Yarrowia lipolytica: one gene and its partner. The protein of the gene in region 2 purifies or fractionates together with the protein of the main gene of each other region. This does not show direct contact. Links are inferred from orthologs where the notes say so. Each region holds a gene or a part of one and is shown on either strand. Other genes may lie near its edges.

Region 1 (5,789 bases), on a different chromosome or scaffold from region 2:
TAAATGCATCAGCAACAATGTTTTTGTAGCTGTCCAGCAGATATGTCAGTACAATGGCTCCGGAAGAGCCGAATCCGAACATGATGATGGCGAATCCGAGAGTGGGCACCATCCAGTGGACCCCGTGGGCAATGGGAAGTCCAAACAGAAACAGTCCGATTGTGAGAGTCAGGTTTGCAGGAATCAGCCCATACAGTCGCATTTCGGGTTCGTACTGCCCTCCGTTGCGTCTGGACAGCCAAATGATTGTCTTGTCGTTGAACCAGCCTCCGTAGACAGACCCTAGTGCCATTCCAATGAAGGGAGCAATGTTGATGTTTCCCAGGGCGGCGGAGGAAAAGCTGTAGGGAGGTTCGGCAAACGCAGATGCCACCGTAGTAGCTGCCATGGCCAACCACGTGAGCATGAAGCCGTATTGGATGGCCACAAAGGTGACGATTGGGTAGGCAAACAGCGTTATAAACGGGGTGTACATTTTCCGACCAAATTCTCTCCAGCTTCCTGGGGTATAGGTGACCAGAGCCAGGCGTTTGGACAGAGGGTTCTTCTGGTACTGGTAGGCGTTTCTGGAGGAGGCTGAATCGGAGAAATCCATGATGACAGACTCCGTCGAAGGAGACTCCAAGTTGCGGACTATGTCTTTTGCGTCCTTGTTGCTCAGATTCTCCTCTGGCCTGTCTTCTTCGTCTTCTCCGACCCCCACCAGGGTCTCTGTTCCGGCTGTGTATTTTGTTTCTTCAAAGAAGAGCAACGTGGAAAGAAACTGGGCTCCGGTTATGACAGCAATGATTCCGTAGACCCATCTCCACCCCAGACTCATGGTGATATATCCCGCCGGCACCATGATGAGAAAGTTGCCAACGTCCACCACCACCATGTAGATGCCGTTACAGGTGCCTCTTTGGTGCACAAAGTAGAGATCGGCCACCGTCATTTGAATTATGGTCTCAGTGACACTGGTGGCCATACCTTGGAGCAAGCTGGAGCCGTACAACTCGCCCACGGTCGTCATTTTGGCCATCCAAGCCGCACATGCTAGAGCTATCGCCGAAGATACCAAATAAACGGGCCGTTTTCCAAACTTTTCCGCAAACGGGATCATTAGTGGACATCCCAGACCCAGACCCGCCACCGACAGCGCGTATCCGTTGTTCTGCTGGTCCAGAGTCCATCCCAACTCCTGATTTTGAGGCGTCCAGAAAACCGTCGATACACAGTTGGCGGTGAACGCCATGAGCGTAAAGAAACAGACAATGAACAAGTTTGTGTGTTTTCTCCACTTGGACCAGTTGAGCGGCTCGTTGGGATCGGCTGTCGGAGTGGGCTGGAGAATGATAGCATCGGAAGCATGGTTTTCCAAGATGGTGGTTCCCGGCGGTTCGTGCGACATTTTCGTGGAGTCTTTTTTCGTGCAATGGCGACCCCGCAGCGCGTCCAGGGTATATATACCAACAAGTAGGGCTAGATCGACTTTTTTAACTCCATTGATCCGCTATCATGGCCGCAGGGTCTTATCTTGCTTCCCAAAAAAGACCTTGTATGCCATGTGAGACATTCAAGGGCTGAAATAACAGCAGGTTCGGGCCAAAATCGGGCCAAATCGGGCCAAATCGGGCCAAAAGATGAGCTCGAGATTTCTTTCGATGATTATAAAAATCTGGTCCTTTTCTTCTCCACCTCGGGTGAAAACCACTAGTTTCCATTCAACACCTCCTTCTTATGTCCATCGCTGATAAGACGCAGATTAAATACCAGTTTGGATCCACCAGTTTGGATCCACCAGTTTGGATACAAGTTGAGGACCAGTGATTTCGAAAAGTGAATGCACTTTCAAGTACTTGCCCGTCATTTCAACTACATTCTACGTCTCATTACACCGATACTCCCCTACTATTGTCCTCCTGTCCTCCCCCTTGTTAGCGCTAACCTAGCCCGAAATGGCTGCATCCAAACGGTCACCAGAAGTCGCTAGAGGGAGCTTTTTTTTTTTTTTTCGTCTGAGGTACATGGAAGAGTTCTATGCCGGCAGTTTGACTGGAACAACTGTTTTGATGATGAAAAACTGAGACCTTGAACCCATCCCGACGGCTGTGACTCCTGTCGGGCCGAAACTCTACATCTATCAGTCGAAATGTATCCACGGAGTCATGGTGACTCGGCGGCGGGAAAAATTACCACAACGGTTTACCCACTGTCAGATTGCCTAAAGTACTGTACTGTAGTGTAGTAATATGTACTACTACTACTACTACTGTATGTACCGTACCACCAATATCTTACCTCCATTATCTATATACCAACCGCAACAATCACCTAACTGCTTGGTTTAGTCCCCCTACTGGTTATCCTTTTGGTGCTTTCGCTTGATTCGCTCAACCAGACTCTCCACACCCTCGCCGGTCTGGTCTCCCTTTCGCTTCTTCTTCTTGGCAGGCTCTCCAGATTCGCCCTTTCGCTTGACACCTCCCTGACCTCGGTCCTGCCGCTTTCGGCGCTCATCTAGCAGCTTGTCCATGGCCTTGGTTCGAGTGAATCCAGGCTTGGACGGATCAATGGCAAACTCGTGGTCGTCGTAAAGAGCCGAAAATCGAGGATCGTCGACCGGCATCTCGAACTTGTCCTCCACAAGACCCTGCTGTCTGTACTTGGACTTCTTCTTGGCGTTTTTCTCGGCCTTGATGATCTCCTTCATATCAAAGTGCTTGGCGTCGGTCTCCTCGTCCACCAGCAACGCTAACTGCTCCATCTCCTTCTTTTTCTTTTCCCGCTCCTTCTTGCCCTTGTTCTTGGGCTTCTTGGCCTCCTTCTCATGCTCCTCATCCTCCTTGGCCTCCTTGGATTCCTGCCACTTTTGGATTCGGGCCGTTCGTCTCTCCTTCTCCTTTCGCTTGTACTTCTCCAGCGTGGTTTCCTCACCCTCCTCCTTGGGCTCAGCAGCACTCTTCTTGGACTCGTCCAGTCCGGGGGTGAAGGTGATTTCCATATCCACATCCTCCTCTCCATCCTCGTCCTCGCCCTTGTTGATGCCGGTGCCCTCCAACAAGCTCTGGTACTTTGCCTTGAGATCGGCCCGCCCCTCCTCGTCAGACTCGCTGTCGGATGCTAGGTAGGCCTTGAGCTCCTCATTATCCATTTCCTTCTTGTTGAACGCCCGCAGAGTCACGTTCTTTCGTTCGGCCGGAGTCTCATCCCACGTGAGCTTCACCTTGGAGTGCTGAAGAGCGGCAGTCTCGAAATCAGACGGCTTGTAGTTGGTGGGAACCCGTGTGCACTTGTCTCGAGGCTCGTCGTCAAAAGTCATGTCCGAAGGCACGTATCGCAAGTCGAAAAAGTTGGCGGTCGACTCGTACTCGGTCCCGTCGCAGTTCTGATAGATGTTTCGGGCCGTGGCGACATCCGAACACACAATAACCGCGTAGTAGTACCGCATTCGCTGCAACTGGTACTTTCGGAAGCTCTTGGAGTTGATTTCCTCGCCGTCGTCGTTGTTGAGCAACTCCTGTTTGATTTTTTCGTCGTCGTCCGAGTCGTCGTCCGAGTCGCCAGCCCGCTTCTTCTTCTCCTCAAACAGCTGCGCGTCCGGTCCATTGAGCTCCTCCTCGGCCATCTTCTCCTTGCCGTATTCACTGGGATAAATGGCCACAGACTTGATCTCGCCCTTAGGGGGGATGAAGCCAGAAAAGGTGGCCATCAGGTCGACCGACCGCACGTGATCCCAGTCCAAATTGACCGCCGCAAGAGTGGTGCTCTCGTCGCCGGTGGCAATGTCCTGCGAGTCCGCCAGCACCACCTCTTCCTCCATCTCCACCTCCGAGTCCGAGTCCGAGTCGTCGTCCGAGTCTGAATCGTCGCCCGAAGAGGCGTCAGAATCGACTCCTTCTCCCCGCGCTCGGTCCAAAGCAGACAGAGGCTTCTTCTGAGCCTTGGTCTCGGGCTCCTCGGAGTCTCCCTCTTCACCGGACTCCTCCTCATCGTCGCTCAGGTTATACAGCCGCTGCAGCTGCGCGTCCTGCTGCTCCAGCTTTCGACCATACTTGTCGACCTTGGCGCCCTTGTGAAAGTCCTTGTTGTGGAGCAGCTCCTTCTTGAACCGCGAGTCCACTGTCACCTTCATGTCCTTCTTTCGCGGCATGTAGAACCGCGGGTCCGAATGCACTCCCGCAAATCGCGGGTCGTCGCTCACGGTCTTTCTCTCCTTGTTTCCCTTGGGTGGCATTTCGCTCTCTGGTGATATGGTGACGATAGCTGATTTGCAAATGAAAATTGAAAAATGAAACTTGAAAATTTCAGATTGTGCAGATAGTCGAATTTTTTATAGTTAGACTTTGGACTTCTGCATCATGTCCTCGCTATGGCGAGAATTGGCCAGACAAGTGCAGTGCATGTAGCAGATAATGAAGGGTGGAGGTCGCAGAGCCGTCTGTGGTCCAATCAGGTCCAGACTCGAACAGCTTCCTTTTTCCCCTTTTCCCCGGTCCCCGATGCTCGCATTCCGCGCCGATTGGAGTCACACTAATGCCGGACTCTCAAAGTGGCAAAATTTGTATGGATGAAATATAGGATAGTAGCACAGCCACGACCAGGAGATCCCCAGCATCATTTTGGTACCATAAAGTGCATCTTGGTGTTCTCCTAGGGTTGAGAGAAGTGGATAGTTGGGCTTTGAATCTTGAGTTTAGAACGGGAGTAGCAAGTGCCATAAACCAGCTTACTATAAGTAGGGCTCCGTTGCTGTTTTCGGGGCCTCATTTTATGATGGAACGTCAGGACGAAAGCGAAAAGCCCTCCAAAGCAACTGCTTCTATTGCTAGCAACAACGGAGTTCATGAGACCGACAAGAAGGTGATTACTACGACCCAGGAGCAAGTTGGGTCTGTTTCCCTTGCTGATTCACACTCCGAGTCCCGCAACTCGTCTGAGAAACCAAACTATCTACGTCTTTTGTGAGTGGATGACAGGGTTGCAATACTGGTGCTTTCTCTCAGCTCATTTGTACTTGTAATTTCATCAATACACTGTAGTTACTCGTCGCTAGCTCTCAATTCAATCTCAAGCAAGTAATCGAGTCGGATTTGAGACGCGTCAAACACAATAATCTCGTCGTTCATGACTCCGCTTTGACCAGCCTTGGCCCAATAACTGTGGTAACCTTCGGGGGGGTTGGTACTGACAGGCCCCTCGGGTGTAAAGTAGTTTCCCAGAGCCACCGACGCCAGAAACATGTAGATGGTCTCTGGTTTTCCGCTTCCATCTGAGGTCCAGAGCATGCCGTCGCAGTAATTGAGCGATTTGGACGACTGGTTGGCGAAATACAGACCGTCCCCAAACATGGCACCCACCTTTTGACCCGGAGACAGTTTAGGAAGAAGCAGGCCCTTTCCCAGAATAGACAGAATGTTCTGGAGACGGGTTCCGTGCCACAGTTCCTGCACGCACTTGATTTTCTTGGAGGTGGCGGCAAAAGGGGCCTGTTGGGAACCCAACTTGATCTTGTAGATGTTCTTTACCTTTGCACATTTGGCAGTGTAGCCGTGGATCTGGTTTTTCGACGATTCAAACATGGTGTTGATTCTGTTGAAGCTGCGTTTGTCGGTCACGTGCTTGACCTCGACGTTGAAGGTCTTTTCGGCGTCCGTCTTCTTCTTGGTGGGTTTCTTTTCCGATTCCTCGGCTGCCTTCTTTTTGAGGTCTTCAATCAGTTTAAGGGTTTCCAGCAGAGCGTCACAGGTGGCCTTTTGCTCGTCAATGGCGGTCTGGTTGAACAGCAGGTGTCTGATTTCGCGGGCGTT
Region 2 (6,560 bases):
TCGCTATCAACCTGCATATGGAGAAAATAAAATCAATTGTAGCCAACAATACACAACACTTAGACAACACCCATGAATGTCGCAAGCGACCAATAAATACTACCCGCCAGATTACGACGGCAAGTCGTCCGCCAACCAGCTTGCGGGAGCGAATCCGCGCAAACCAACTGTCAGATTCGAGCTTCCTCTGTCTGCCAAATGCCATGGATGTGACAAGACCATAGCTCAAGGAGTACGGTTCAACGCGGTCAAAACACGCCACGGCAGCTATCTGTCGTCTCCCATCTGGCGCTTTGATATCAAACATGCTGAGTGTGGACATCCCATTGTCATTGAGACGGATCCGAAGAACGCTACCTACGTGACCGTAGAAGGAGCTACCTTCACACAGTCGGTTGTGAAGAGAGAGGAAGAAACTCCAAGCAACCCTTTTGAGGCGGTCGAGCGTGAAGTCGTCAAACAAAGGGCTGCAAAGGCCGAGGAGGAGCTCAAACAACGTCATATTAAGTCCGAAGACAGCAGAGAGACAATCGCTGAATGGACCTTCAAATCGTCGGTGCTTTCGGCTGATGACGCGGCCAAAGAGACACAGAAAATGTATGATGAACATCTGGACAAAGCCAGATACCACCAGGACCTGTCATATAAGATGAGGAACAGGTTCAGAGGTCAAAAACGCGCATTGGAAGCCCAAGACCAAAGAGACAACCTTCTCAAGGACAAAATGGGACTTCTGCGGGATCTACCTCTTGCTAAGGAAGCGCAAGTGATGGTTCCTCACCTGGAAAGGGGTTTAGTGGCGGAGCAAGAACTCAGGTTGAAGTCTCTATCCCACGGTGGACTGTTTGATTCTACCAAGCAGAAAGGATCACTTGCACAACAAACTAGAGAGCTCTCCAGAACGCTACAGTCTAAGCCACGGCCGAAATTGAAACTCAGAGGGATCAAGAAACCGGCCAAACAATAATGCCAGTATATACTGTACTTTTACTACTATTTATTCTTATTACACTACTTAATACGCCCTGTATACTCTTCATTTTCATTTGGCACCTGCCTCTATTATTAAAGTACATCTACTTAAAACCCCATGCTAAAACCACTGATACTAACCAAAGATTCGGAGACCGTCGTCGGGAATAACCAACTCCTGCTCCTCCTTTTCTTCCTTTTCTTCCTTCTCCTTCTCCTCTCCATCATCGTCCTCGTTGAAGTTGACTCGCTGCCCCAGAAGACCGGCAAACAGCTCGTCGATCTGATCGTCCTCCCAGGTGAAAACCGGCCGGGGAGCAGCAAAGTTCTGCACCTTGTCCTGCACATGGTATCGCAGCTTTCTACCCTTGGATGCTCTTGTGTCCACGTTCTTCTTGGTCTTGGCCTTTGTGGCAGTCCAGGTCTTGACGCCACTGCTTTGAGAGCCGGAATCCACCATTCGTCGGTCAATCAGATCCTTGAGTAAGTTTCGGTAAAAGTCTGAGTCATCAAAGATGTAGTAGTTTTCGCCCTCGGCGTCCTGAATGGCGCCCATCTGTTCCTCGCCAAGAATGACAACGTTGGATCGATTCATTCGAGTTCGCTTGACAAGTCGGTCCATGTCCGCCAGAGTAGCAGCGACCTGGTTGGCAGAAGACTGGTTCAGAGCCTTGAACTTGGAGGAGTTGAGAGCGGAGGCCGCAGATGAGGCCTGCACCTTCTGAGACCACTTGCTCAGCACAGAAGTCTCGTATGCCTTGAATTCTGTATCCAGCTTGTCCATGTTATCCAGAGTGGCATCAAAAGTTCGCTTGGTCGATAGCTTGACGGAGTCGGCAGCAAACACATTGTCCTGCACAGCCATGTTGTGTCGCATCTTGGCTATTTGGGAGATGAAGTCCGACAACTTTGCCTTTGTGTCTTGAAGAGTGTTGGTGATGTCTTCACCGAGCTCCTCGGCCTTAGTATCGCTGATAGGAAGAGCGTTGGCAGACTGGACTGCCTTTTGGAATGTGATTCGCGCGTCCAGAAGTGTCTCGTATAGATCGGTCTGTTTGTGAATGGCGAATCCCTTTTGTGCGTCGGAAACAATAGCCTCCTTGGCCTGCTGCTTGGACGCCTTCTTTTCCTCCCTCAGCAGCTCCTTGAGGGTGGCTCTAGCCGAGCTGTCATTCTCGTTCTCAGACAGCTCTTCGTCAGACTCGTCCTCATCCTGCTCATCCTCCATGTCTTCATCTCCGTCTTCGTCCTGGTCCTCTTCATCAACCTCAACTTCGTCGTCAATGAAACCATTGCCTTCTCCCTCCTCATCGTCCTCCTCATCGTCCTCGTCGTCCTCATCAATGAAACCGTCAGCGCCATCGCCGTCCTCGTCCTCGTCGTCATAAAGAGCCTTCCTGCTCACCTTGCCGGCCTTGTACTTGGGGTTTAGAGCAGGAGCATCATCTCGCAGCTTGCTCTTGCCGACCTTGACATAGTGCTCTGTCGCTAGATCACTGTCGTAATCCACGTCTCCACCGCTCTCGGAACCATCGTCACGGTCCTCAAAGTTCTCGATATCCACATCCTTGGGCTTGGGGTTAGCCAGTTGAGAAATCTGCTCGGCCAGAGATAATTTCGCCATGTTTGTGTACTGTTTCAAGTCGAGCCTGCACTCTGTCAAACTGTAGTCAAAAAAAATTCCAGACCTGCCAAAATTTCGCTATCTTGCATATGCAGGGTAACCCATGACGAGCTGGACAGTAGGCAGAGACTAGCCCAGGAATGAAAGAGATAAATGAGACGGCGGCCACAGTGGTGATATCATAAGATGTTGATTGGTCATACTGTTGCTCTGGAACACAGAAAAATCTCTCCATTCACCACTCCTCATAACCTGATCCCAGCATCCCTCATGCCTGTCTCATGCACCTTTCTTCCAAGTTATCCAAGCTCCCTCCATACACACCTGCCTTCCTCTCAAGAACCACATAGACATGGCCAAGCTGCCGACTAACTGGAAGCAAAAGTACCTGAAATCACAGGCCGAGGCGCGCACAAAAAAGGTGTCGGCGATATCGCCCATGGAGGTGCGAAACGGAACGAAAAAGTCGCTGCAAAAGGCCCTGGCAGAAGCCGCCGACGAAGACGAGGAGGACGACGAAATCTCGACTCAGGTGGCAAACGAGGTCGAACAGCGACTCTTTGACCTCTACGGAATCTCGCCGGAATACAAGTCGGCCGTCCGAACCCGCCTGGTGAGTTTAAAGAGTAAGAACTCCACAATAGCCGTGGAACTATTGTGTGGAGCAATTGAGCCTCAGGCGTTTGCTGAATACACAGTTGAGCAACTGAAATCGGACCAGCGCAAAAAGGAAGAACAGGCCCTGAAAGATGAGAACCTCAGACAGGCAACCATGGAGAAACCAACCAAGGAAGATATCAACATGTACAAAGACGGACGAGACCGAGAAAAGTGGGGAGTGTCTAGATCGGCTGCTGCCATCGATGATGATTAGAGAGAGAGAGAGAGAGACACACACACACACACACAAGATGGTTGTGTGATAGGGCTAACTTATAAGTTGCAGGCTGTGTTTTGTACAAGTACTGTATTTCTACGTGTAAATTATTAATAAATCATAATCCTTATTCAGGTGCCGAATATTCTTCATCAATGGTTATGACACCATTGGAACCAGTCGACTTGCTCTTAGGCGTATTCTTACCAGCCGGCTCGGCAGATGCGGACTTTTCCTCCTCGGCAAACTTGTCTGTCTTTTCCTCCTCAGCAGACTTGTCCGATTTGTCCTCCTCCGCAGATTTGTCAGCTTCCCCTTCTGCTTCGGGCTCAACAGTGGTCTCTGTGTTGCCTTGGTTAGCATCGGCCATCTCTACATCCGAGTCCTGGGTAGATTTCTCAGGCTCCTCGGTGGGCTCCTTTTCTTTCTCCTCCGAATTGGACCGAGTGCCACTGTTGCTTGAGGAACCATTACTGGAGGCCACAGCTGGAGGACCCTTGGTCGTCACGAGCTTGATGTTCTCACCCACCTTGTTGGAGCAGGCCTTGATGAGATTGGTGGCCCGCAGAAGAATATCCTTTCGAGTAACCCGCGTCTTCTCTTTTTTGCCATCTTCCTTCTTTCCAGCAGTGGTCGCTGTAGTAGCAGGAGCAGGAAGAGCAGGAGGCTGGGCACTGCCTGGCTGAAACTCAAACTTGGCTCCATCAAGAACCACTGGCGTAGATGAGCGGCTCTTGTTGTCCGCCAGTAGTGAAGTACCAGCGTATTCAATGAGCATCTTGAGATACAGACAAACAACTGTGTCATCCACTACACCTGTGGATCCAAAGCCGTTGTTCAGCCGTCTGAACTCAGATGCATAGTACAGCAAAGACAGCAGATACGAAGCCGGCTCCTTGCTCTTGGTGATCTTATCCTGCAGACCCTGCGCAATGCGATCAAAGTTGTCAAACTGCAATGAGGGAATGATGGCGTCCGGCAGCTTTTCAGGGATCCTGGTAACCCGCTTCATCAGAACGTTGGACGTGAGACACGTGAACTCCCAGACCTCGAAATGATTCACCATGCCGTTGTTGAATCGACGCAGCTTCTTGCCAATGGTAGTGATGGCGTCCGTGTCGTCGGTCTTGTCTAGCAGAACAATAAAAAACATGAGGTAGTCAAACACGTACTGGAAATGCTTGCCTGCTCGCTCAAAGTCGGGCTTCCAAATGTGTACGGGGGCCTTGCTTTGGTTCTTGAGGTTAAAGAACGGCACCATCTCTTCCTTGGCACTTCGGTAATCCTCAAATACCTCCTTGTGGATGCGAGCAATCAGGAACGGGGGCCGGTGGTGCCACTTTCGCTTGTCCAACACTTTCATTCGACGCAATGTCTCAATGCACGACTTGTAAAACTTGATTTCCATGCGAGTCAGAGGCTTCTTCTTCTCCTCGGGCTTAGCAGCCACAGTTGGGGGAGCGGCAATAGCAGTGACCGCAGTAACGGGCCCAGGAACAGGAGTAGCGTCATCGATGGAGATTGGAGATCCAGAAGTTCCCTCAGAGGGTACAACAGGTGGAGCAGTATCAGCGGCAGGCTCAGTAGCAGATGCAATAGGACCCTCCTTGGTAGATTCAGTTTCGGAATCAGAGCCAACCTCAGAGTCCGAGTCAGAGTCGTCTCCAGACTCCATGTCAGCATCCTCTCCCAAGTACTCGACAAAGTGGGGGGTTTTCTTCAACTCCTTGTACGCTTCTGCAGCGGTCAACTTGCCTCGCTTTACGGCCTTGTAAAGGTAGGCTACAAGTTTGTAATGAGGCTCGAGAAGAATGTCTCCGTTAATCTTGTCGGGTGCCACAGCAATGGACTTTTGAATGTCGCCGAGAATAGCTTGGGTGGTCTTTTTCAGCTTGCTGTACACCTTAGATCGGAGATAATAAGAGTACCAGTCCGGGGGTTGGTCCTTGCTGTTGATACTGATGGTGAGACAGGCTCGGACAACCTGGTAACATTGCTTGCGACGAGGAAGGGACAAATTCTGCCGCATGTAAAGACCCTTCATACCACAGAAGATTTTGTTGTCTGCCTGTCTGAAAGACGCACCGTGCAGAGGGTTCGCCGTGGCAGAGTAGAAGAGCTTGCTGAGGAACAACCACTGCGACTCCTTCATGACAGCGTTGAAAAAGGTGCGCAACTGCGGGTTCGCAGGCTTCTCGTCCCGCTGTTGAAGCATGAGATTGACAGAATTGAGACCACACAGCAGGGCCTTGCGCTGGTTGATGTTGACAATGGAGTTGGGCACATCGAGCTTCTCTGCGCTCCACATAAGATCGTCCTCCGTTAGCATTTCGTATGCGTTGGCAATACCGAACCATGACTCATAACGAGTGGGGCAGCAGAGAATGTCGTTAGTAAAGAATTTAACTGCTGCCTGGAGGTCTTCTGTTCGTCCTGGAGCAGCTGCCTTCTTACCCTGTCGAAACTTGGCAAGAGCCAACATTCCCTGAACGCAGTAAAAACCTCCCGTTGAGGCGGAAAGCACCGGGTCAGTTGACGTCATAAATGGTAAGAACGACTCACCCCGAAGACTGTTCTCTATATAATTCCAGGTGACAGGGGCCACCGTGAACCGGCCAAGAACAGTCATGTTGTGGCTGGTGGAGGCAATGTTCTTGTCAGGGTCTCCAATGGCCTCATAAAGCTGGTCCATCACCGCTCGCAGATCAGCTCGAATGTTGTGCACACTGGACGGCTTGCGATAGACCATATTCATTATGAAATCCTGGAAGGCCAAGCCATCGGAACGTTTGAGAGCACGAGGTGTGGCGCCATGGTCTGTAGGATGGTAGTGCTCGTTGGCCAACTGGATACCGAATCTGCACCGGATGTTTTGCAGCAAATCGGCCTCGGACTCGTTCCACTTCATACGCACAATCTCGTCCAGAGTTAGATCGACGAAGATGCCGTTGGCAAAGCTGCAGCACTTGCGATGACCCAGATCCTCATGTACGATAGATAGGATATCGTTGAGAGTGGAAATAGTTGTCTGGGGAAGATTTTCATCCAAGCCGTTCGTCAGCTGACGGAACAAAAGGTAGAAGAACG

The links.
Region 1: the proteins of YALI1_D14329g (region 2) and YALI1_C24460g purify together in Saccharomyces cerevisiae (affinity purification with mass spectrometry; 3 studies listed by BioGRID). This does not show direct contact. The link is inferred for Yarrowia lipolytica from reciprocal best matches to the Saccharomyces cerevisiae genes BFR2 and ESF1.

What each region holds. Positions count from the first base shown.
Region 1 is NC_090772.1:2,444,468-2,450,256, reverse strand, and holds YALI1_C24460g (uncharacterized protein), read right to left. Parts: upstream 4,217-5,789; coding exon 2,336-4,216; downstream 1-2,335. Other genes in the region: YALI1_C24488g (uncharacterized protein), read right to left, coding at 1-1,390; YALI1_C24434g (uncharacterized protein), read right to left, coding at 5,022-5,789. UniProt on the Saccharomyces cerevisiae protein: Involved in the 18S rRNA synthesis. Required for the early cleavages at sites A0, A1 and A2.
Region 2 is NC_090773.1:1,430,366-1,436,925, forward strand, and holds YALI1_D14329g (uncharacterized protein), read right to left. Parts: upstream 2,597-6,560; coding exon 1,109-2,596; downstream 1-1,108. Other genes in the region: YALI1_D14304g (uncharacterized protein), read left to right, coding at 77-967; YALI1_D14333g (uncharacterized protein), read left to right, coding at 2,949-3,470; YALI1_D14391g (uncharacterized protein), read right to left, coding at 3,601-6,560. UniProt on the Saccharomyces cerevisiae protein: Involved in endoplasmic reticulum to Golgi transport. Involved in a protein-transport step blocked by brefeldin A, which disrupts the Golgi apparatus and its incoming protein flux. May also be involved for mass growth or cell proliferation.